4 linked regions of the Danio rerio genome follow. The protein of the gene in region 3 binds, or shares a complex with, the protein of the main gene of each other region. Links are inferred from orthologs where the notes say so. Each region holds a gene or a part of one and is shown on either strand. Other genes may lie near its edges.

Evidence for each region.
Region 1: tada2a (region 3) and dr1 share a complex: the UniProt entries of both Homo sapiens proteins name them as parts of the ADA2A-containing complex. The link is inferred for Danio rerio from reciprocal best matches to the Homo sapiens genes TADA2A and DR1.
Region 2: tada2a (region 3) and taf12 share a complex: the UniProt entries of both Homo sapiens proteins name them as parts of the PCAF complex. The link is inferred for Danio rerio from reciprocal best matches to the Homo sapiens genes TADA2A and TAF12.
Region 4: tada2a (region 3) and mbip share a complex: the UniProt entries of both Homo sapiens proteins name them as parts of the ADA2A-containing complex. The link is inferred for Danio rerio from reciprocal best matches to the Homo sapiens genes TADA2A and MBIP.

What each region holds. Positions count from the first base shown.
Region 1 is NC_133181.1:26,448,970-26,455,046, forward strand, and holds part of dr1 (protein Dr1), read right to left. Parts: intron 2,038-6,077; coding exon 1,874-2,037; intron 32-1,873; coding exon 1-31. UniProt on the Homo sapiens protein: The association of the DR1/DRAP1 heterodimer with TBP results in a functional repression of both activated and basal transcription of class II genes.
Region 2 is NC_133191.1:38,668,836-38,675,564, reverse strand, and holds the start of taf12 (transcription initiation factor TFIID subunit 12), read left to right. Parts: upstream 1-2,722; 5' UTR 2,723-2,807; intron 2,808-3,247; 5' UTR 3,248-3,313; coding exon 3,314-3,484; intron 3,485-4,916; coding exon 4,917-4,994; intron 4,995-6,279; coding exon 6,280-6,394; intron 6,395-6,729. Other genes in the region: ctps1b (CTP synthase 1b), read left to right, coding at 879-975, 1,436-1,491, 1,577-1,673, 1,747-1,891, 1,997-2,075. UniProt on the Homo sapiens protein: The TFIID basal transcription factor complex plays a major role in the initiation of RNA polymerase II (Pol II)-dependent transcription.
Region 3 is NC_133190.1:18,242,716-18,248,792, reverse strand, and holds part of tada2a (transcriptional adapter 2-alpha), read right to left. Parts: intron 4,462-6,077; coding exon 4,329-4,461; intron 2,191-4,328; coding exon 2,147-2,190; intron 1-2,146. UniProt on the Homo sapiens protein: Component of the ATAC complex, a complex with histone acetyltransferase activity on histones H3 and H4. Required for the function of some acidic activation domains, which activate transcription from a distant site. Binds double-stranded DNA.
Region 4 is NC_133192.1:40,161,481-40,168,191, reverse strand, and holds the start of mbip (MAP3K12-binding inhibitory protein 1), read right to left. Parts: upstream 3,976-6,711; 5' UTR 3,964-3,975; coding exon 3,811-3,963; intron 3,304-3,810; coding exon 3,187-3,303; intron 1,780-3,186; coding exon 1,567-1,779; intron 29-1,566; coding exon 1-28. UniProt on the Homo sapiens protein: Inhibits the MAP3K12 activity to induce the activation of the JNK/SAPK pathway. Component of the ATAC complex, a complex with histone acetyltransferase activity on histones H3 and H4.

The sequences.
Region 1 (6,077 bases), on a different chromosome or scaffold from region 3:
GCTGTGCCAGTTCAGCCTGTTGCTGCCGTGCCTAAAACACAGCAACACTCATCAAAAGCCATGTGGAAGCTTGTTACACAAATATGACAAGTTGTCTATTCAATTTGTAGGCAATTTACAGTGTTGCCAACTATTTTCAATGAAAATGTGCTAAGCTCTGCTTACATCAAATACATCAATTTGCATTTTACTGACATCATCACGTCCAGTAGTTTTTGTTTAGCAGTCTATGGTTAATAACAGGTTATTTATATTTACACTAGGCTTTATATGTGCAATATATGTCAATTTAACTAAATGTATTGTTTGAATACAGTATATCAATATAGATGTATAATGAATTTGCAGTAATCTCCCAGACACAATAAACTCACAAAAGTTCAGAAACTCACTAAAATCTCTCTGATTGTGAACAAGAAAAAAAAAAACAGCCAAATTAAATTGTTAAATTTAAAACAATGGAGAAGCAGATCGGTTTGACTAACTTTGCAAAGAAAATGAACACCACTGGCTGCTAGTGTGCTGATGACATCACTGACAGCGTTTCAAGCTTCCAAGGGAGCATTTAAAAATATAGTCAATTAGCTGAGCAGATTGATAACTCATCTGCAAGGTTCAAGTGAATAGAAACAGAATTTTTCATTTTTTTAATTTAATAACTCTGAAAAAAAAACTAACAAATCCTCAACACCTGGACATTTCCTAAATATCTGTGTATTTTTTTTAACATTGATATTTTTTTAATTGACAAAACAGTAAAGAACTGAGCATTTCTACCTTTAATTACCGTATAGGTCAAAATGACTGCATGCATGCCAGTTACTTTTCACTGTGACTGTAAATATAAATGCATTTTTTGCCTAGCAACTTCCTTCTAACATAAACATAACTTTCTGCTTGCAAAAACTCCAGATATATCTTTCAAAACTGCATTTTCTGTGTCATGAAATTGCTTCTGTTTGAAAGTGAAAATGAAGGCCCAGACCTTTGCGTGTTCTAGTATTTAACTAAATATTTACAAGCTGTATTACTGAAAAAAATAAAAGTTTAGGGTAATGGTGTGAAAATGTTGACAGGCATTCAAAGGCTAATTTTAATATCTTAAAAGAAGTTTAGAATGTAAATATGATGTGACAATATGATGTTTTATATGAGAATGGTCAGAATGACCAGTATACAGAAAAAGCAATGATCCAGTTACAGAATTCTAGTTCCACTGTTATTACAGCCTATTCTCGTGTCTGTGTTAACACAAAATGAAGCGAGTGCATCGATGCCCATTCTGGCCAATCACAGACATTTCTGTTGAGCTCCTGAGCACACGTTCAGCTCATGCTGATATGCTCTCCCTCATTGGCTGCAGCTCATCACTTCATATGAACGCGCGTGGGGTCGAGTCGGCCGACTGCTCTGGAATATTCAGCATGCTAGATATTGTATTTCTGTCTGCGAGGTGTCATCAAGCCTTTTTGATCCGTTATTCAGTAGTTCATAAATAAGACTGCAGAGCGCCGAGCACCAGGAAATTGTTTTTCCCGATCACAGTCCGATCTGTCAGCAAGCTCGTTAACTTTCAAATCGGGCTCAAATCAGGCTTAAAATCCTTTAGTGTGAACTAGGCTTAAGAGTCCATAAAAAATCTCCAGTAACACCAAAAAAAGTTGCTAGATTTTTTGTTAGTCGCTTTTTTTTTTTTTTGGAATATTTGCCGCTAAGGGGGTCTGAAAAGTCACTAAGTTGGCAACACTGGTGATTTAATGTAATTTGTGTACCTTTTTGCATTAAAAAAAAAAAAAAAAAAAAAACGAGAAGGCACCAACTGCTAAGCTAAGAGTGAAATCTTTAGAATTAACCATTCGGCATGCATTTTTACCTTAGCAAATAATTCCTGTTGTTGGCGGAGAAGTTCTTCCTCGGGAATGCCAAGGTTCTCTAGTCGAGAGCTGGCCTTTCTTCTTTTAAGTGCTACAGTTTTACACTCCTGCAGAACGTCTTTTACTTCTGCGATGTATGACCCAAATCCTAGACTTTCCAGTGCTTAAAAAAGAAGAACACATATAATGTTATTTAAGAAAAAAAGTATATTTAAGTGAAAAATTGTAACTACAGTGAAAATATTCACTGTAAATATTCACAAAAAATATTTTTCAGAACAGGAAAACAATTACATCCATCCATATGCTCCGTAGAAGCGAACTTCAAGGGATAGTTCACACAAAAATAAAAATAAAATTTGCTTAGTTAAAAGGCTGTTTCAATCCACCCTCTGTGATGTATATTATTTATTTTGGTAACAAGTAGCCACTGATATACATAGTAAGAAAATATAAATACTACGGAAACTAATGACTACCGGTTACCAACATTTTAAAAAATAGATTTTTGCATTCAGTTGACAAAACTAAAGGGTTTAGAATAAGTGAAAAATAACTTATTTTAGACTGAATATTGTAGACATTGATACAGTTGGTCAAAAATTTGAGATTCGAACTAAAGGCTTTGAGATTCAAACTAAAGGCTTTGATATACTTTAAGTGAAGTAAATTGAAAAACTGATGTGGCAAAAAATAAATCAGGTCAAAACAGAGTTTGTGTGGTATTTGCTTTATGAGGCCAAAGCAGCTTGTCATTGTAAACTTCCCAGAAGATTTGCTTCAGCTGGTAAACACCTTCCCAACAACATTTTCTCCGGCAGTTATGTAAATCTGCATGTAGTTTGACTAGGAAATTTGTTCTAGTTCATTTCCAAAAGTAGTAACAATCAATACAGAGATGCTTGTCAGTAGAATTTGATGTAAAATTATAATTAACAGCAAGACTGACAGTTTTCTCCATTCTATGCAGTTTTAATAGCAATCATCTGCATAACGTTCAATAAAAATAAGCATGACTTTACTGGCGTCCTCAAAATGAGTGCTAACAGCCACATTGTTTTGTTAAATGCTGATTTCTCACTTCATAATTTAAACAAACTGACCTAAATATTCTGTAATGTTCCGACAAAACACTGTTCAGGTGTTTATCAAATTTGTTTTACACAATTTTCTCACTTGTAGACCATGTGTATTGTTTGGGGGGAAAAGGGGTTACTGCTTTTACTATGTATCAATTTCTTCTAGGTTGAATTTGAAGATTAAGCTAATATCAGCTAGTCTAAATCAGTGTTTCTCAATGCCGTGCCCCACCAGTCCGAACATTTTGCATACTCTTATTTAACACACCTGATCTTGATAACCAGCTCGTTAAATAAGCTCCATGCATCAACCATGTTAGAATTAACAGGTCTCCACACAGTGTGCATTACTCCCTACTCGCTTTTTCTTCATTGAGCTCTACCTGAGCACAAAATACATTTATTTCACTTCGGAACACTCATTCACAGATTTGCACAATAGCATTGCCTAAATGCCTGCAGAGTCTTCTTACTTGAGATGTGACATGCCTACATAAATATATTGTACAATACATTTACATATCACACATTGAAACTTCCTTTGAATAAAATATATATGCTGTCTTCAAAAATAAAACATGGCATAATATCCTCTAAAGTCACTTTGCAGGGAACTTGTCAAATAAGAACAAGTGTCTGAAGTGAAAAGAAAACCATAAGAAACGTGCAGTTCAGTGGGCACAAGAAACAGGATTGTGAAATCAGTCCAGAGCTTCTTAATCTTGGCTCTGGAGGTGCAGTGTCCTGCAGATTTTAGCTCCAACCCAAATCTAATGGGGCTGGCTAATCAAGCTCTTAATAGGCTTTCTAGAAACATCCTTTTTTTGGAGCTAAAATCTGCAGGACACCGGATCTCCAAGATAGAGTATAAGAACCCCTGCGCTATTCTATATCAAAGTCCCTTTAAGTCAGGGGTGTCCAAACTCAATTCCTCGAGGGCCGCAGCTCTGCATCATTTAGCTCCAACCACTTCCAACTCACACCTGCTTAATAGTCTATAGTAGTCTTGAACACCTTGTTTATTTTAATCAGCTGTTTAATTAGGGTTGAAACAAAACTGTGCAAAGCTGTGGCCCTCCAGGAAACCAGTTTGAGACCTATTCTTCAAGGCAAGTCAGTTCACTCTGCAGCCATCTTTGAAACGCCTCTTGGGCACTATGCTCAGGCATTCTGTCTGAATATGGATACATCCAATTATAAAAAATTGCTTGCCAAGCTTAGGATTAAATTTCATATTAGGAATTACAATAAAATTAAACAATAACGGTGTCTTTAGTTTTAGTTCTAAAACGTTCTAATCACACAAAATCTTCAGAAACTCATGGCTGTTCCGAATCCCTCCCACAGAGGGAGTTAGTCTATAGTCTATAGCGATAGCTGATATAGAATAGCGATAGCTGATTGGCTCCTGTACTAGAAGGCAGGGCTTCATTCACCATGAAACTACACAAGTGACAGGTTGTGTAGTCTATAGTCTTTGTCTATATGCACATATCTTATCATACCCTTTAAGGCAGGGGTCTCAAACTCAATTTACCTGGGGGCCGCAGGAGGCAAAGTCTGGGTGAGGCTGGGCCGCATAAGGGATTTCACAAAAAAAGTCCTCAAATGTCATTATTAACAGTTTTAATTATTTCTTCTGAACATGAAGTGTCCTGGACATTAATAGAACATTGAGTGAAGATTATGAACAGTTCTTCTGAACATGGCATCTTTTGCCTACTTCTTGCGGCCAGAGACTTGACAGCGCTTATTCTCACAAATCTTATATATGTATATATGTGTATATATATATATGTATAAATAAAACACCCCCACCCCACTCCAGTCACATCAGTCTGTACCAGTCTGTATCTACCTATAATATATACAAGATGCAGGCTGTAGCTAGGTAGGTGGCAGGCTGCAGATAGGTAGCTAAGTGGCAGGCAGGGGCGGGAACAGCTTACCTTGGTTCTGGCCGGCACGAGTTCCCTCCCTGCCTGGTTTATACTTCTGCGTCAAGTGACCGGCGCAACTCACGGCGCAGGCAACGCGCGCAGCTGTGCATTTAAAGTATAAATGCGCAGAAGTATAAATGCACAGCTGCGCGCGTTGCCTGCGCCGTGAGTTGCGCCGGTCACTTGACGCAGAAGTATAAACCAGGCTTCTGCGCGCTGTCTCTGTTGGTCTGCATTAACACTTCCGAAACGCTAGTGGGCAGTGAGGTGTAAATGTTCCTCTGTGTCGAGTTTCTTCGCTTCTGTTTTGCTATTCTGAACACTTCCTGGATGTACAAGTGACTCAAACTCGCTCATTTTGAGGCAGGAACCGGCGGACGTGCAATAACTTTTACCATGAGGTAAACACAGAACAAAACTTTCCATCCGGAGCTCCTTCACAGGACTCCACACTTGTAAACAATCGCTCGCGCCATTCTCGCGGCTCTCGGTCCCGCCCAGACTCGTCGGCGCTAGCAAGCCGACCAATCACAGAGCTTGCGCTACGCGTCGTTACAACGTGTAGTTACAATTTTTGAGAGGTGCACGTCAGTGACGGCGACGGCCACGGCGAAGGGCTATGCGTCAGCGACGTAGCCTACGCCGGTGTTTGACTCAGAAGTAAAAATCAACACTTCCCGCCCGTCACAGCGTCTAACAAAGGGGCGGGGTGCGTGGTGACGTCACCAGCATCCCCGCCCCTTTGTTTACACGGCAGGCGGGGAATGCCAGTGACCGCTGTGTACGGATAGAATCAGCGGTCGGCGCGGGCCACAAAATATTGCACTGAGGGCCGCAAATGGCACGCGGGCCGCGAGTTTGAGACCCCTGTTTAAGGTGAATTGTTTTCTCACCACAAACCTAGGGCTTGGCGATAAAACCATATTTATTGTAATAATTTTTCCCTCTGTAAAACAACACGTTATAAATGTTTAACATAATAGTGGAATACATTAGCATATCATAACTGCATTGTTCCTTTGCACAACATAGATTGTTTATCCATTAGCACAAACAGCTGCTCGAGTTTGTTTGTATGTTCACATGCTAAAGGGTCTTGCTCATTAGGTTGGATGTTTGTCATCTTTGACAATAAAATTTAGTTTTACAATTTACTATTCTGGTTTTTGGAACTTTCTCCCAGA
Region 2 (6,729 bases), on a different chromosome or scaffold from region 3:
TCTTCAATAATGCCTTTTCAAGTTGTAAAGAATTCATTTAGAGCAGTAATAGCAATACTGTAATAGAGTAAAACTATTATATATAAGCTCAGTTGGCTTTCTGTGTGAAGTTTGCATGTTCTCCCTGCCTTTGTGTGGGTTTCCTCTGGGTGCTCCGGTTTCCCCCACAGTCCGAAGACATGCGGTACAGGTGAATTGGGTAGGCTAAATTGTCCGTAGTGTATGAGTGTGTGTGTGTGTGTGTATGTGTGGATGTTTCCCAGAGATGGGTTGCGGCTGGAAGGGCATCCGCTGCGTAAAAACTTGCTAGATAAGTTGGCGGTTCATTCCGCTGTGGCAACCCCAGATTAATAAAGGGACTAAGCCGACAAGAACATGAATGAATGAATGATATATATTTATATGAATATATATATATATAATTATTTTTAGGGTTTTTTCACCTTTATTAGATAAGACAGTGGAGGAAAGACAGGAAAGCATTGGGATCAGAGAGAGGGGAAGGATCGGCACAGGACCTCGAGCTGGGAATCCAACACGAGTAGCCGTGAGCACCATGGTGCCACATGTCGACACACTTAACCACTAGGTTATTGGCGGCAACGAAACCATGATATTTTTATTCAGGGTTATCATACCATCAGAAACATATAACGGCCCATGCCTAGAAGGTAATCTGTTGTGGCTTTTTCAAAGTATTCAGTCACACCAGAATTTACAGTATGAAAACAATTCAATCAAATGCTTTTTCAACTACATCTGGAGGTGGCTTAAATTGGGCATACTAAAAGCTGTTAGATCTCAATTTACACCTTTTTTGTGTAAATAATGATCAAATCGCTGAAATGCATCTTAATATATCTGTGTTTTGGATCTAGGTTATTGAAATGCCTGAGCACAATCCAGGGCAGATGGGTGGAACCATGCGGCTGGGAAAAAGACGCACCTTATTCAAAAGCACCCCCAGCATTCTCCGTAAGTTGTGATCTTTTGTTTATCTTAAAATCATACATTTTCTTTTCGGCTTAGTACCTTTATTAATTTGGGATCGCCACAGCGGAATGAACCGCCAGCTTATCCAGCATATGTTTAACATATTGGTTTCTTTTCCGGCCGCAACCCATCACTGGGAAACACCCATACACTCCCATTCACACACATACACAATGGACAATTTAGCTTACCCAATTCACCTGTACCACATGTCTTTGGACTTGTGGGGGAACCCGCCGGAGCACCCATGCGAACATGGGGAGAACATGCAAACTCCACACAGAAATGCCAACTGACTCACCCAAGGCTTAAACTAGCGACTTTCTAGCTGTGAGGCGACAGCGCTACCCACTTAAAATCTTAAAATCATATGTCACAAATATAAATGTACATTCTATTTAAATAAGTGCATATAGATAATATTTGAATTATATTGTTGTAGGAAAGCTGTATGGAGATGCTGAATACGTGGACGAAAGGCATCGACACCGCTTTGAGGTTTGCAATAAAGATCTACTCTAAAATACCGTAAATGTTTTGTTTTCTATTTATTCATGTTAGTAATCTTTGCATTTTTTTCCAGGTGAATCCAGAACTGAAGCACCACTTCGAGGATAGAGGTTTTCGATTTGTGGGTCAGGACCTAGAGGGGGAGCGGATGGAGATCATTGAACTTGAAGGTCAGTGATCGTCTAGTATTTGAAAAAGCGGTCAGTCAGTGCTCATTTCAACTGATTTCTTCTGTCCAAACAGATCACACGTATTTTGTTGGAGTGCAGTACCATCCAGAATTCACTTCTCGCCCGATCAAACCCTCACCACCGTATTTCGGCCTTCTGCTGGCAGCGTCTGGGAAACTGCAAAACTACCTCCAGAAAGGATGCAGGCTCTCACCTCGGTTTGTTGCTTCTTAAACTCATATCATCCTAAATTAATTTAAAGTGGAGACATGCAGTATACTGTGTAAGTTGTCTTATTATCTTGTTTTCCTTTTCTCTCTCAGAGACGCATACAGTGACCGAAGCGGCACTAGTTCACCAGACTCGGAAATCTCTGAATTCAAATTCCCATCGCTTTCTTAAAAAGGAAAAACCCACCTAATCATAAAAACACATGAATGACGTTTTATGATATGAATGTATGAATTTAAATAAATGGATAACAATGCTAATGTGTTGGTTTTAAAATGTGAACAAGTGTGTTGTGTACAGTGGTATAGAAGTGATAATTTATAGTTATTCATTGTACATTTTCATTTAATTTAATTTATTTAATTAATTAAAATTTTAGAAATAATGTGTTTTAATAATTTTAATTTGTATATTAAAGTAATTTTTTATTATACAGAACTAGCTGAAATATTATATATTAAAAGTTTTATGAAATATTTAACATTTATTGTATTTCGAGTATCATAACTAGTATTACTTGGATGGTTTTATCAGGAGTTGACATTAATAACAATGAGCTGTGTTTAAAATGGCTCACTGAACTTGTCTATGCAAATACATATGTAAATTGATTGTTTTTACAAACTAGGGGATTTTTATATATAGAGAGAGAGCACTCTACCACTTATAACTATTACTTTACCAAATAAAATAACAATTTGGAAGAGATCATTTTCCAGAAGGCTTCATCAACTTCTCTGTGCTTTTATTTTGTAAGACTTTTGAGATCTCGCGATACTTCGGTTGAGCTCCGTTCGTCAGAAGAGGCGCTTGTAGAAGGAAAAACAACTTGGAAGGGCTTGTGCATATTTCCAGACCTTAAACGTCGAAGATGGAAAGATAATACAGAATTATTTGCATCAGGTACTGCAACGATTAACAATTAAACGGAATTACATCAAACAAAAGGAAAGCATCGCGAGACGTGTATTGGCACGAATGTTTTTCTCGCTAATGTTAGCTGCTAATATGTTAAGCTACAGTGTGATGATTAAAAACAACAACTATGAAGAAATTCAGACTAAAAACCATACTTATTTGGTAATTTGCATTATATCACATTAATATCAGCATAACACTTACATTATCAATTAGTTTAAGTGAATTATGTCATAACACACTGGCGAAGCAAAAAGGCTAACGCTAGCATATACAGCAAATGACAGTTCGGTGATGTTTATTTCTATCGAGCTAAAAGTTCTTCACTTCGTTGATATAACTTACTTAAAACAGCCGTTTAATATCCTTAATGTATTTATGCATTGATTAAACTCAGTTGAACTCTTAATATCTTTTTTCTGCAGCTGATTTAAAACTCCCACTAGTTCTGAAGAGGCTTGTGACATTTGACATCTCTTGATTAGCATAGTATGACCCAGTATCCAGCACAGACCAGTCGCTCGAATTTCTACACGGTTGTGAAAGCAGAAGCCTCTTCAACACCGCCGCTGTCCAGCAGCATGGCCAACAGCACGGTCGCTCCGGGGAAACTGCCCGGCACCCCCGGACCAGCAGGCAGACTGAGCCCAGAAGGACCTCAGGTGGGTCAGACTGTACAGCTATTATAAGACTGAGGTAACGTTGGTTTTATTTTCGGATATTTGTTCAGTAAGACGGTCCCTATATTGTTTACTACGAATATTCAGTCTGTACTTGCATCAAAGTATGACTACAAAAGAATATTAGCACTATTTAATTGACTGTGAACAATGTTGTACTTTGATAGTCATTGGCTACTAATAAGATTTCTACTATTAGAATTTGCAAAGAATACTTTTCTGAAATTATATTATTGAGAAAGTTTGAATGTGCGAACCAACTTTTACTTTCACACGAACATGCATAAAAACATTCCTTCCTCTAAATGATCATTTATTTCATTTCTGCGGAAACCTAGAGAAGAAAGCAAATACACAGTCGAAGCTCTTCTTTAAAACTTATATTATATTATATTATATTATATTATATATGTAAAAAGAACCTAGATTAAAAAATGAAACAAAACAGTATCTAATTTAAATCTTAACATTTAACTACATTAATATAGTTTAAAATTAATAACAATTTAAATTGAATATAAATTTAATTTTTAAATATAACATTTTTCCCCATTATTAATGTAAAATCATATTGGCTTATTTAACCTTGTCTCAAAGCAAAATAAAAAGTAGCAACTATAATAAACTGTGTAACGTTAAATAAAATGTTTTTAAAAACTATTTGTTTGACTATTTTTGTCAAAACATTTTTGCTTCATTCAATCTATCATGATTTGCACTTCTACTCTTCCGTAGCTTTGGATGTAGCAGTATACCTATCATGATTGAAAATTTTGTGTTGATGATTACTAATCAAGCAAATAATTTTAAAAATATTTAGATTTTTAACAGTTTAGAATAATTTTATTTATTTATATACATATATACTTTTTATTTTGCTTTGAAACATGATTAAATATAGGCCAGTATGGCTTTAAAACTATGGAAAATAATATAAAAATTAGAATTAAATTTAAATTCCATTTTAATTATATTTATATTTAAATTATATTAATGTGTGGTAAATGTTAAGATTCAAATTGTATTTTTTTAGTTAAAATTTTGAGTCTTGGTCCGTTTTATATTAAAATAAAAAATCATATAAAACCAAGCAATCATAATGTTATATGATATTATAATATAACAATATATGTGGGAAAGAAGATCTTTGGTTCTCTGTTAGTTTGGTCTTCACAGAAATAAAACAAGCTGTCATTTACAGGTAAAATGTATATTAAGCATGTTAATTTGTTTATGCACTTAATTTCCCTCATTTAAAAAAAAAAAACCTGTTTTCAACACCTGAAAGTAGATCAAATAACAAAGATCAGACAAATAATCAATATTTGCGATAGACCTATATGTGAAAATAGACTTTTTTAAGCCAATTTAAAAATATATTGACATTTATGTATTTTTATTGTCCTCCCTACAGGTGCTCAGTAAGAAGAAGCTGCAGGACCTTGTTCGAGAAATTGACCCTAATGAGCAACTTGATGAGGATGTGGAAGAAGTACGTGTGTCTTATTATTGATGATGTTCAAAAGTGTTCTCACACATTCATTGTTGACTAGTCAGTTTGTTGCCCAAATTACCATTTTAAACACACTTGAATAATAAATAGTTGAGTTTGTGAGAAACAAATGGGATTTTAATTGCAATGATATATAAAACACTTAGGGAAATAATCAGTTGATGTACAGTTGCAATCAGAATTATTATCCCCCCTGTTGAATTTTGTTTTTCTTTTTTAAATATTTCTCAAATTATGTTTAACAGAGCAAGGACATTTACACAGTATGTCTGATAATATTATTTTCTTTTGGAGAAAGTCTTATTTGTTTTATTTCGGCAAGAGTAAAAGTAGTTTTAATTTTTAAACACCATTTTAAGGTCAAAATTATTAGCCCCTTTAAGCTATATATTTATAGTATACAGAACAACCCATCATTATAGAACAACCTGCCTAATTACTCTAACCTGCCTAGTTAACTTAAATAATCTAGTTAGGCCTTTAAATGTCACTAAGCTCTATAGAAGTATCTTGAAAAATATCTAGTAAAATATTATTTACTGACATCATGGCAAAGATAAAATAAATCAGTTATTAGAAATGACTTATTACAACTAATATGTTTAGAAATCTGTTGAAAAAAACTGCTCTCTGATAATAATTCCGGATTCAGGGGGTTTAATCATTCTGATTGCAACTGTATATTAGACCTGAAATATCTGTTTTTGTCAGTTCAAGAATTTAAACTATACTATATTTGTACTATAATGCATTATAGTGTGTGTGTGTGTGTGTGTGTGTGTGTGTGTGTGTGTGTGTGTGTGTGTGTGTGTGTGTGTGTGTGTGTGTGTGTGTGTGTGTGTGTGTGTGTTTTTTTACTATATTTGTACTATAATTCATTATATTTTTTATGAAGAATGCATTGATTTTGTCAAATTCAAATAACAATAACACTATTACAACAACAACAACAACATCAAAAAATAAATAAGTGTTTTTTTAAATGCTGCTTTGTTTATCAAATGATGCATAAAAAATTAAAGATGATAAAACTAACATACTTGAGCACAGACTCAACAAATTCAGAATGATTTCTGAAGGATGAAAAAAATGAAGATTAGTTGAGTAATGCCATCACAGGAATAAATGACATTTTTACATTTTATAATTATTGTTATTATTTCATTACTTTTATTAGCGATTACAGCCTAAATGAAAAAGAACAGTAGAAGGATATGCTAACATTACTGTTACTACAGTGTTGTCTGTTGACCATTTGTTTCAGATGCTGTTGCAGATAGCTGATGACTTCATTGAGAGCGTGGTGACTGCTGCATGCCAACTGGCCCGACACAGGAAGTCAAGCACTCTTGAAGTAAAAGACGTCCAGCTACACCTTGGTGAGGATCTTAAATGATCATTTTATCCATGGACTTGAGTGCTTCATTTGAATACATTTGAATAAGTACACTTTTAAAAGGGTAATTCACTCAAAAATGGAAATGTATTCCTTATTTACACTAAAAGAGATATTTTAACAAAAAGATGAAAACCAGTGAAACAGAGGCCAGCAAAGTGAAGTGCTATGCTGGTTCAATGGGTTGGGTGCAGTAGGACCGGTGGGCTACAGATGGGGGCTCGTCCAGGATGGGAGTGAGGTTTAAGGGGCTGACTGTAACGAAGGCCAGCTAGTGAAGTGCTACGCTGGTAAACCTCACTCTTCTGACCTATAAAG
Region 3 (6,077 bases):
TGATTTATTTAGAATGACGCATAGCACAAGCTCTGTAATTAGTCGACTTGGTAGCAGTGACGAGTGTGGGCAGTGTGAAGAGACGCGAGCTCGATTGAGCAAGAGTTTACAAGTGTCGCAAGCTTTTGTTTTGTGTTTAACTTTTGTCTTATCTTTGTCTTATCAGTTTTAGCTACTTGTACATTAAGGTAGCATTCAGAAATAACAAAACACTCATGACTTAACACAGAGGAACATAAAAACCTATTGCCAGCTAGCGTTTCAGAAGAGTTACTGCAGAGCAACGCAAACAGCTCATCTGTGTGAATAAATGCTTCATAATTGCTCAATTTTGTTATTACTTAATAATTTTTTTTTTGGAATGATGGTAAAAATGTGTCTGGTTTAAATGTGCAAAAAAAAAAAACTAAAACAATATAAAGCACCAATAAGCTCTGCATTACAACGATTTAATAATGGGATATTGAAAGCTGTGCTGCCTTTATTAAAAACACATTTATTATTCATCATAACATTAATATTGAATAAAACTAATAACAATAATTATAAAAGTATTGTTGCAGGAAACAATTTAAAAAAATGAAATGTAAATTGTAATTAATTATAATTTTATAAGAATCATTTGCTAAAATTGTCTAATAATGAATGCATCAAGAAAATCCATTTTCAAATCCTTCTCTTCTTATTGTCAACACATATATATATATATATATATATATATATATATATATATATATATATATATATATATATATATATATATATAACAGTTCTGTCTGGTTCTCCAATCTGATTGGCTAATAGCCGTGATATATTTAAGTAATATCAGCACACGTACAGCCTCTTTACGCTTTGTGTATTACTCCGCCTATATACAGCCAGCAAAAAGCAGACACTACAGATCTAAAATTTAAAAGATGCTTGCTCAACTGTTTAACTGTCAGCTAATGATTTGAATCCGGAAGAAAGTAGTTTCACATACAAAAGGGTTTTTGAAACTCTCCGTGTTTGATTTTGTTTTTATATACACAATTATGCCGTCAAACTGTTGTATAAACGCAATATCACACTCGTATCGACACTGGTGGGGGCACTAAGGAACTCAGCACTGCTACTTGTGTGATATTGCTCATATATATAGTTAGAATATTTAATGCATATTATTACATAGTAATGTAATATTGAATTTATTTAATAACTTAAAATATTATAAATATATACTGTATGTTATAATATATATCTATAGCTAAATTATTATTATTATTAATATTATAAATGAGTTAAATCGGGACACTGTAAGATTCTGTTTTTATTGTCATTAGAATTTGTCTATAAAATTAATCTCGTAATATACTTGATTTAAAACAATTAAAAACATTACTTAAAGATTATTTATAAAATAGCTAAAATATACAAAATATTTATAAATATATACAAATCTCATTTTACCAACTTATTTATCAGAATCAGAGAATTCACATAATTTGAATTAAATTCAATTGTCAAAATAATAATAAAAAAACGAAAACTTGTGTACAATGATAACATTTATAACAGAAATGTCACAAATTTTCTCCATAACATATTCCACAACTATTTATTTTACAATAGAAGTAATTTAAAATACATGTAAAAATTGCTGATAAAAATACTTGCATACCAACATATTTATCAGTATCAGAGAGTTATTTGAGAATTTCTAATTTGTGTATTACTGTAAAAATTACATCAAAATTAAATATAAAATTTTTATAAATTGTATTTATAAACTGATTTAAATATTAATTAATTAATAGAAAATGAACAATAATAAAACTATAATAAATCATTTAAAAAATATCACTATCAGTCCAATCTAAAATGACTTGGTTTTAAATCTCAATGGTTCACAACCACAGACTGCAATCAGATTCATATGCATTCAAATACGTCCTAGTTGTGCAGTGAAGTGACAAAAGCAGCCAAAATGTGAAAGCACAAAACACTGAAATACATGCGAGCTGTGTGAGTGGCTGGCTTTTTGTAGCCGGTATTTACAGCCGAATGTGTTTGAGCCGGCGGCTTCACGGCTGAAGAGCGCATCACAAAAGAGAGAGGAGGACAGGACACACAGCGTGAAAAATGCAAGAAATCAACAGCACTGTACCTGAGGTGCTGATAGTGCTGACCACAGGCGCGATTCCAGCGTCACTGGCAAACAAACACACACACACAGTTAGTCAACAGCTCAACAAACGCTTCTGAAAGACTGTCTGCGGCTCTTGGGCTTTTGAGCCAAATCAAATATAAACTGATTCATCGTTCACTTGGTATGCATTTGCTCAATACTTACACGAAGCCCCAAAAACACAAACAAACTGTCAGATAAAGAGCCACGAGCTGAATGAGAATGCTCTGTGGACCAGCAGACAATAAGAAACATCACTCACACACACACACATGTGATGATAAAACAGCGCATGAAGGTAATATTATAGTAGACATAATAGTAAAATATTGCAGTAATATCATCACTGTGAGTTATGGAGAACGCCATGATGGAATGACAGTCTTATGAGTATAGATGGCTATTTAAAAGTTTGCAATCTGTAAGATTCTGTTCATTTGTTTGCTTGTTTTGAAATAAAATAAATCAGAAAAGACAAATGTAGCTTCAAACGGCTCTAAACTATTTAAACTAAAGAATTAAATCTGCAAGCACCGATAAAAGGAATCTAGCACCCATGCTTACCGCCGCCCGGAGGCCTTAGGATGACAGAGAACAAAAATAATTTGAACTGATATATATATATTAAAAATCTAAGAAAATGACAGATTTATGTCAAACTTCCTTCAGTCAGCAGGTAGCGCTATGACTGTGACTCAATATCTATATATCTTCAGGAGGGAAATCTCATCGACTATGTGAAAACTCTAGATCTTCACTATTTAACATCACAAAGGCCTTTGAATTATACTGACAAAACCTGGAATCAATCTGATAAAATTAGTATGTGTTTGTAACACTGTACAACGTCATTTTCTATTGCCAGCAGGTGGCACTGTAACTGGATATTAAAAATTATTGGCCTTGGAGATGTTAAATTGCGAATATCTAGAGCGTGTCTGTGGCGGCCTCGCAAACTTTGACGAATCTCCACGAAACAGGTAGTTTTTATAACTCAGGCATGCACTGTCTGATCTGCCTCAAAATCCACGTTTGATAAGAGTCCTGACATGAACACATTTACATGTTAATATCCAGTTACAGTTATATACATACATATATTCAGGGCTTGACCTAAACACCTGCCAACCCGTCAAGTGCGGGTAGATTTTAACTGTAGCGGGTTAGACAGACACCCCCACTAGCCACTTTGGCTGGTTGAAAATAATAGGAGATGATAATTTGCAGAGCTGCCTGGACCCTAAAGATTAGTATGGTAAAGATTATTTGTTAATATGCACCCAAATGTGATCTTAAAACCGAGAAGCAGCACGATTGATAACTTTTCATGTGAGGAAAAGAAAGCAGGTGAATACCAAATGAGAGGATGATTGGGCGCACGGTAGACACAGGCGATACTCACTCACTGACGTTGTGAGCGAAGCACAGCTGATCTGAACCACGGGAGTGCTTAAAAGCTCCTGTTCTCTGACGCAAAACAACCGGGACTGGAAATGGTGTGATCATTTCTCTTTGAAATAGACTGGAAAAAAGCGGTGCTCAAGCACCCACTGTCCTGCTGATTTCAGGAGCTCCAGATTGTTTGCATGCAGCCGCTATTGCCGCTTTTGCTTATGTGGACATAACACATCATTTAAATCAAGCAATTTTAGCATGCCAAAATCAAATGTATGCATATGAAATATATTTTTCCACAATTGTGGCTAGTGAAAACGGCAAGTGGCTAGTAACATTGGAAAACTACTAGCCACAATGGCTAGTGATCAAAAAAGTTAATGTCAAGCCTTGTGTGTATACATACATACATACACACACTATATATATGTATACATTTTTTTCATTTATTTTAATATATATTTTTATATAAATATATATAAAATAATCGTTTATTAAAATTAATTGAGGTAAAATGTTCAATTAATCAAGAGTTTTATTTTAAGCCAAATCGCCCAGCCATACCCATTTTGATCTCAAAAATGTAAAAAAAGATGAGGAGTTTACATCCATGAACTCAATTTGTGCTAACACTCCTTATTTTAGCATTTTTCCAAACTGTGCTGAAAACTAAGCAGCACTGAGGCAGGGGGATTCATGACTCATGTAATAATACATTTTAACATAAAGGAAGCAGTATTGTGAGTGAGTGAGGAAGAGATCTTACATGGCAGCTTGTTTGTGCAGCCACTGCTGGCAGGCGCGGGTGTCATGAATGTACTGCAGGACGTCACAAAGCATGTTCCTCTTCCTGCGCTCATCCTCTCGTGTGCGTTTCACTCGCTCATAGACTTTAGCACCTGCAGACCAGATGACAGGTGTCACTTCAGATATGAACATAGATCTCTGTATGTGAGATCTGGCTAGCATTATCAAAAAGCTGTGGTCAGAGCGTATGGACCATATTCAGATGAGATAGTGCTTGATTCTGCTTAAATCATCACTTGTTGACTGTGTTCTAATTTAAACTGCCTCTACATGATTTGGAATTACCATCCACAAAAAATTTTAAGTTGATCTTTTCTAAACATTTGTAAAAATGTAAAGGAGTGAAAATTGTTCACTGATATCTAAATAACAGGTTTGTGGCTCAGGTAAGCAAAAAAATAAATCTCCAGAAACAATCTTTAAGCACTTTTACTCAGTATACGTGTGTTTGTTGCCTCATCACAAATATACACAGCGAATTATATACTTTAAACTAACAAAAGAGAGGAGTTAAACAGACCTTATGCCTCTTCAAGGTGGTGCTGAATACGTTTTTAATCCGTATATCCTGCATTTTGCTTTCTGACAAGTTGTGAGCACTTAGTGGTCATGCATAGCTGCCTACTTCACTAAACTGTTCCTTTTTTAATCTCCCTGCCTGTTCCTATTTTCAAAACAAGAGACCCACATGCATAGTATGTTTAATACAAGCTTATATAAAGTTAAAAATAAGGGGAAAATAATAATTGATGTAATCTCACTAGAAAACGTTGTGGCCAATCAAACACTGCCTGGGGCGTTCATTTAATTGATTCTGTGTGGATTGTCAGAGTTTGTGTTTTGTTCCAATTGGCCGGATTTTCACTGGGATTTTGCACTCACAGGATTTGTTGGAGAACAATAACACATTGATATTTGAGGCTCATGATATGTAATTTCCATGAACTCTTATTATTCAGCTATGCCTAGGTATATCCAAAATGTCATTCTATGGCACATTTAAGAATTTTCTGACAACTTGAATGTTACTTTCTCAACTCAATACTAGTCACATATTGTTTATAATTAATTATAAGACTTTGCGTATCATTTAATAACTCTATATACTTTATAGCTGTGTATATTTTCACATTTATTAACTTTTTTTTTACCTTGTACTGTTCTGAATTCTGGATTATATTGAAAGGAACCACTGTCAAAAAAGTGCTCCAATGTGTTCACCATTGGTGAATGTGGTTATACTCATGACAGGTACTATTTGGTCATTACTAAGTTGGCAACCGTCAAATGTCATTTGGGAAACGGTTTGAATTTCTGGTTAGTAAAATACTGGCACTAAATTCATACACTATGTGTGTAAGTACATAAGTACACAGTGAGTAAGTGCATGGTGTGTAGTATCCCGTACTTATGACTTTTCATGACATCTGACCAATCAGAACATAACAAAGGGGGTTTAAAAAAACTGCATTAATGAACCATCTATTTTATTAACTGTGTGAAATGAGCTGAGACTACAACATACCGACCACTTTATTAGGTATACCTGTTCAACTGTACGTTAACCCATAATTTTAAATTAGCCAATCACATGGCAGCAACTCAACGTATTTAGGCATGTAGACATGGTCAAGACGATCTGCTGCAGTTCAAACTAAGCAACAGAATGGGGGAAAAAAAATTAAGTGACTGTGAATGTAGCATGGTT
Region 4 (6,711 bases), on a different chromosome or scaffold from region 3:
CTATAAATGCAGATATCCTACGTTCAATCTGAGAAAATGAGGAGAGAGAGAGCAATGAGGGTCAGGCTGATGAGCTATTGAAGAACAAAAAAATCAATTCACTGTCTTCTTTTTTGCTGTTTAGTTATAATGAGGACCGCTAGGCCGTACGGGCTGCATGACTAACAAGTGACCAGGGTGGACACAATTATTCCAAAAATCAAAATATTTCTCACACGTAACCGTTTCAGATAGTTGTGATTTGCTTGGGCCTTTTATTACAGTGACTGTAAATAAATAAGCAATAAAAATGAGGGCCTCCTTGTCCTTCGCCCACATGCAATTTCAGCGTGTAATGAACATCCACTTCATAACGTTGCAAGGACCAGGACCTCTCTCAGGACTCTCAAAGTGGGTGGCTATTTGTTTCTTTCTGAAGGAAAAGTGGTGAAGGAGCCTTTCATTCATTCTCAACTGTCTGTCCACAGATGGCAATTCACACTGCATATGACTGACCAACTGGGGCAGATTACATGCAAATAATACATTCTGACTGTCAAGCAATTGACTTTAATTGTGTTTTGGGAGAAGAGATTGCTTTAACACACAAAAATAAATGTTCAGACTAACAATAATCATTGGTAAATAAAAATGAAAACAATAAACTATTCAACTAAATAAATTATCTTAATACGTAGCAATGTACTTATGACTTACTGCATTAAAACTGAAAATAGCTCTTGGATGAAAAAAGATTTTACATTTGACATTTTGATTTAAACTATATATATATATATATATATATATATATATATATATATATTAAAAAAAAAAAAAAAAAATATATATATATATATATATATATATATATATATATATATATATATATATATATATATATATATATATATATATATATATATATGTTTTATAATATTATGACAAAATTATTTGGTTAGATTTGATTTGATTAGAAAATAAAAGGGTAATATTTTTCTTAATTAAAATGCGTTATTAAAATAATGTAAAGCACATTTTATTAAGATTTTTAGAAGATGCACACTAAAATTTAATTCACTGAAACAATGGTTTATGTATCAAAACAACTTTGCCAGACATATTTCTTTTTTTAATAATAATTTTTTCAGAGTTTTTACTATCAACAAACAGGACAGTAGAGACTATTACCAAGAAAGCATGGGGAGCAGAGAGAAAGAGGAAGGGTCGGCATTGGACCTCAAGGTGGAAATCGAACTCAGGTCGCCGTGATCACCGCCGTGAGTGCATTTGTTGATGCACTAACCACTACGTCATCGGTGCCAAACATATTTCGAATAGGAATCATTTGATGACATATAAAAACACTACATAACGGATGCTCCAAAAAAAAATAATAATAATAATAATAATAAAAAATTGTCATTAATTGTCATTTTTAATCTTTATATTTTGCAACTATCCTTCAAAACCACTACGTTTTACCCCAATTTGTAAATATTCATATGATCACTTACTTGTTTAAATATTCCAATAAATACAACTGTGATTTGTGTAAAATATGCCTACATTTTGAAGTGATAAATTTACCTCTGATTTAGCAGCCTTGATCTGCACGTTATCATCGATTTGAGTCCTGTTTCGATCCTCAAGGGCAGCACAGTGGTCAGATGTAAGAGGATCATCAGTAAACATCTGCTCAGATGTATGTGCAGTTTCTTTCCTTTCACCGATGTCTGGGTTGGAACTTGTACAGTTATTTGCCTCAGACTCCACTATCTGCTTCAAACTCTCAGAGACCGACTAGAAGCAGAAGGTTAATAAAAAAAAAACAATGTGGTAAAAGACAGTCTTACAGTGTCTTTATAATGATAAACTGTGTCTTAGCAAGGAGTCAGAAGATAATGTGCAGTAATGCTGGTCATATACATTTAAAAAAAAAAAAAACGCTGATAAGCTAATCAGAGAACCATCTTGAAGGACAAAGGATTCATTTTGCCCTGTCAGTTTTTGTTTTGCAAAAAACACTGAACATATTTACATTTTAAGAACATTATTCAGGAAACAACATTATTCCACTTGCATAATATGAATTTAATAGTGCAGGGCAACGATTAATCGTAGTAAACCGTGACCAAAATATAAATACGTTGTAACATAATATATATGTGTGTGTGTAGTATGCATATTTAAAACACACATATACATAAAACTTAATTTTACAATAAAAAATATTATATATATTTTATATGTAAATGTAAATAAACATTTTCTCAAAAAAATTTAATAAATAGCATATTTATATATATATATATTTATATATATATATATATATATATATATATATATATATATATATATATATATATATACACACACACACACACACACACACACACACACACGCGAACACAAACACACACACACACTTACATACATACATGCATACACACAAACACACACACACACACACACACACAAGCTTTGAATTTGGATGTGATTAATTATAAATAAACATGAGTCAGTACTATGTATTTTATATATTTTAATGATCAACTAAAAGAGTGCACTTACTTTCTATCCCTCAAAGCCTTAATTTCATAAAATAAAAACATTGCAGCAAAAGCTTGTTTCCACCAAAGAAAAAACAAATAAGTAAGGATAACTGTGACTTTTCTTCAACGCATTGTGATTTGATACTTGCAACTGAAAATGATGAACATTATCTCGTAATTCTGACTATTTTCAGTATTGTTACTCTGCATCTCAGGGTTTCAAATGGTTTTGACTTCGTTTATAATAATTTATATCTTGTAATTTAAACGTTTTATCAAAAATGTGAGATACAAATGAAGATTTGTGGGCAATAAAGTCCCTATTCTAACATAAAAAGTCAAAATGCAAGATAAAATATTAAATAGCATTATAAAATTCTGACTTTTCCACCAATAATATATCATGTTTCCTTCTGGCAATACTGATGATATTCTCTGAATTACAATTGTGACATAATGGGTTTAATTTTTTATTCCATTGTGGAAACAAATGTTCACCAATTCTCTGGATAAGGTTCATTACAGATAAGTAAACAAATAAATGGCAAACAAAATTCACTTACAAGATCTATTTAAAGGTTCAGAAGATATCTTTATACTTAAAAAATCAGCTATGTGTGTTAGTAAATGTTATAATGCACATGACTCTGTTTACCTGTAGTTTGGAGATGTGCTGTTGTAAACAGGAGTGCACATGAGATGGCTGAAGCTCACAGATGTTCACATTGTTGACATTGGCACTGATTTTCAATGCGTTATCATCTATTTTTAACTGGAAAATAAGACAGTTTTTTGTTGTTGTTGTGGTTTCTAAATTGTCAATGCAGAAAAGATGCCTAAAACAGACTAGGTGGTTTATTTCGCTGGTCAATATGGTTTGTTAAATGAGTAGTAAGATTTTAGGCACTTGTCAGCTGGGGAGGCAGGGAGTAAAACCAGCTAAAAATTGAATAAAAATCCAGAAAAGAAACATATGAGACCATTATAAAAACTCCAGGACAGGCTGATTATTTCAGCAGTGACAGTGGAAATATTGCATATTACAACTTATTGCAGACAAGTACAGACAAATTATCTAAGTGATTGAAACAAATCATATTAGCGCGGACAAATCATATAATTTTACGACATGGGTGATCTTGTTACTTCGGAAAAGTTCCATAATTTAACGTTACATATTTAGCTTTTGGCATCTCAAATGAAATAACGTTACAAATATGACTGTTAAGAGCTCTATCCCAAACAGTGACACCGTGGCAGAATTTGCTTTTAAACAAACCTTTACTCCAAGCTCAGCGAGGGAGTCGACAATAGAGGCAACGCAGTCTCTGAAAGCATCCCTTTGTCTTGCATGAAGTGAAATCTGGCTTCTGCTTTGCTCTTGTTTACTTGCAGCACACGCACCGCGTCTTTCGCCGTCCGCCGCCATCATTCTTCCGCTCCCGGCTGCTGCGCTGATTGGACCAACGGTCTCCTGCATAACATGACCTCACTTCCGCTAGCAAAATAACGAGCATTTAAAATTGACTACTGCAAATATAAACGAAGGTAAATTACTTTATTTCGATAGTTTAAATATTGACATTGACCGTGTTTAATGTTTATTATTTTGTCCGTCACAAAACAATCTTCTGTTTCACCCTTTTGTGTTTTTAAATCGCATTTAACATTACAATTTATCAATATGACTAAAATGAAACGGGTTTTTATGTATATGCCAAGGGTAATGCATTTACCTGATCATTTCATGTCATTCTTTAAAAAGCTATTTAAAAATACACACACCCAGACAAACAAATAGGGTTCAAAAGGTTGTGTAACGTTAAAGGTAAAGGCCTGTAAATAAAAAATGTATGCCTAAATGATATTGGAAAAAACTGACATTGCAATATTTTCATTCACTGTGATATATATTGCGATATAAATGCAATTTCACCAGATGAATAGCTTGCTAAAATTGAGTTATTGTGTAGTGGAGCATATCTGCATAAAATATAATTTTAAAGGGCACCTATGATGAAAATAATATTTTCTAATCTGTTTGGACAGAACTGTGTATAGGTATAGTGTGTGTCCACAGTCATATTAAGGTGATATAAAGACAATAGGTCTCTTTTTAAAAAATTTCTTAATGTTAAAATAGGATTTAAATCCCTCCTATTTTGAGGCCCACCGCATCGTGACATAGGAGGGCGGTTTCCCTGTCCACCGAATTGATTGACAGCCGCGTACTAACATGTATTAGTAGTAATACGCATAATCATATCAACAAGGCACAAAGTGTGCAAAGCAACTGGGATTAAAAGATCTGTTCAGCTTTCTGTGATCATCAGTCATCATCAAATGTGATCGAGAGTGAGTTTTACAAGTTTAAAAAGTTTTTAAAACAGTGCATGTTTGTAATGAATTACAGAGATTATGCCGTCTTTATCACCACAACAGCATGTCAGTACAATAATATAAAAGACTCCTCAATCCTGGTTTGTGGACATTAATTCAGGCAGTGTATATTAAATGTGCATTAGGGGATCAGCCTAAATGATAACCGGCTAGCATAATATTTTTTAAATTCAATCTCTCCACTGCTGGCCAAAACCACGCCTCCTGTTATCACAAACACGCACATTAAAGATGACAGAGACCCACTAGATCATGTCATTCACCAGTTAGAAAAGTTTATAGTACTTTATAATACTAAAATTCCCAATGAAAAACTGCTTTATATCTAGCATGTTTTCAGTGTTGCAAGCAAAACTTCATAATGTTCAATATTTCATACATGCAAGGATCGCTGGCCTTACTCTCTCTTACGCGTTTTGTCCTAAATCGACACCTGTGTGCTTAGTGATTGGTCAGCGATGTGCAGGAATTACATTTATTAGTAAGTCACATTTACATGCTGTTTCAGACTGAATATTCAGAGTAGAAGGGTAAACAATATAGAGGGCGCTTCACAGGTTTTCATTGTTCAAAAATGAACCAATGTGATGTGAATATAAAACCAACTTCAGCTCAGTAAAGCAGGCTAGGCAGAATAGCGCTATTTACTGACATTTTGTCGTTAAAGTAAATAAAAATCGATATTATTGATTAGAGGTGTGAACCTATACTGGTCTCATGGTTTGGTTCGGTTACGATTATCATGCCATCGATTTGGTTCAATTCGGTATCTTGGTGCATTGATGATGCTTTCCATACACAGTGTTATATTTTTTGGCGGGGGCTATAACAAGCTGTCTGTTTAAAAACACACATAGACACATAGCATTACACTGTCTCTCACACATACACACACAAACATAGACAGCACCAATCAAATAAACACACACACACACACACGTGCACTTGCTTGCTTGCTCGCTTGCTCGCTCGGGAGCGATATTGTGAGACCGCCCACTCCTGTTCAAATTACACCAGAGTTACAGACCGCTCCCGCGCTTTATTTGGAAATAAATTTTTTTTTGGTCTCGCGACAGTGTACAGGTACAGCCACGGGAATGCAGACTTATATCCAGAAGTATCGTTGTAACAGCCGAGAGGAAAAGAGAGGGAAGGAAAAGTCACACCAGCAGCCGAGAGGAAAAGTCACGCCAGCAGGTGAAATGGGCCACAGAGAGAGAGAGAAATGGAGTTCACTTTCATTCCCTAAATCGCAGAGAAATATGGCTTCTGCTGTAAGTGTCAGTGAAAGACTGTCCAGAAAGCAAACACATGCAGTGAAATTGTGCACAGTTTCTGCGTTTTTAATTAGTTGGCACCTGGGGCCTGTTTCAGAAAGGAGGTTAAGTAAAACTCAGAGTATTTTAACCCTGAAATGAGAGAAACTCTGGGGTTTTCTGTTTCAAAATGGCAGGTTTGTTAAACTTGAGAAAGCAGGGTAAGTCAAGCCTGTTTCTAAAAGAGAGGTAACTTTTACTCAGAGTCAGTTACTGTGGTAACTTACTCTGTGAACCTAACCTGGTCAGGAGCAGGTTTTATTTTCTAAACTCAGAGTTTCTGTCGGTCTCCTCCACTTTTTTAAAGACGAAGCGGTATTTCTCGCCTTAGCCTTTCGTTTCCACCCACCTATTTTAATGCTCATTTTGGATATGTGCATAAAAAACGATTGATGGAAACATCATGATGCACTTAACTTTTAATAATATGCATAAAAAACATGCATAATTGAGCAGGATTAACT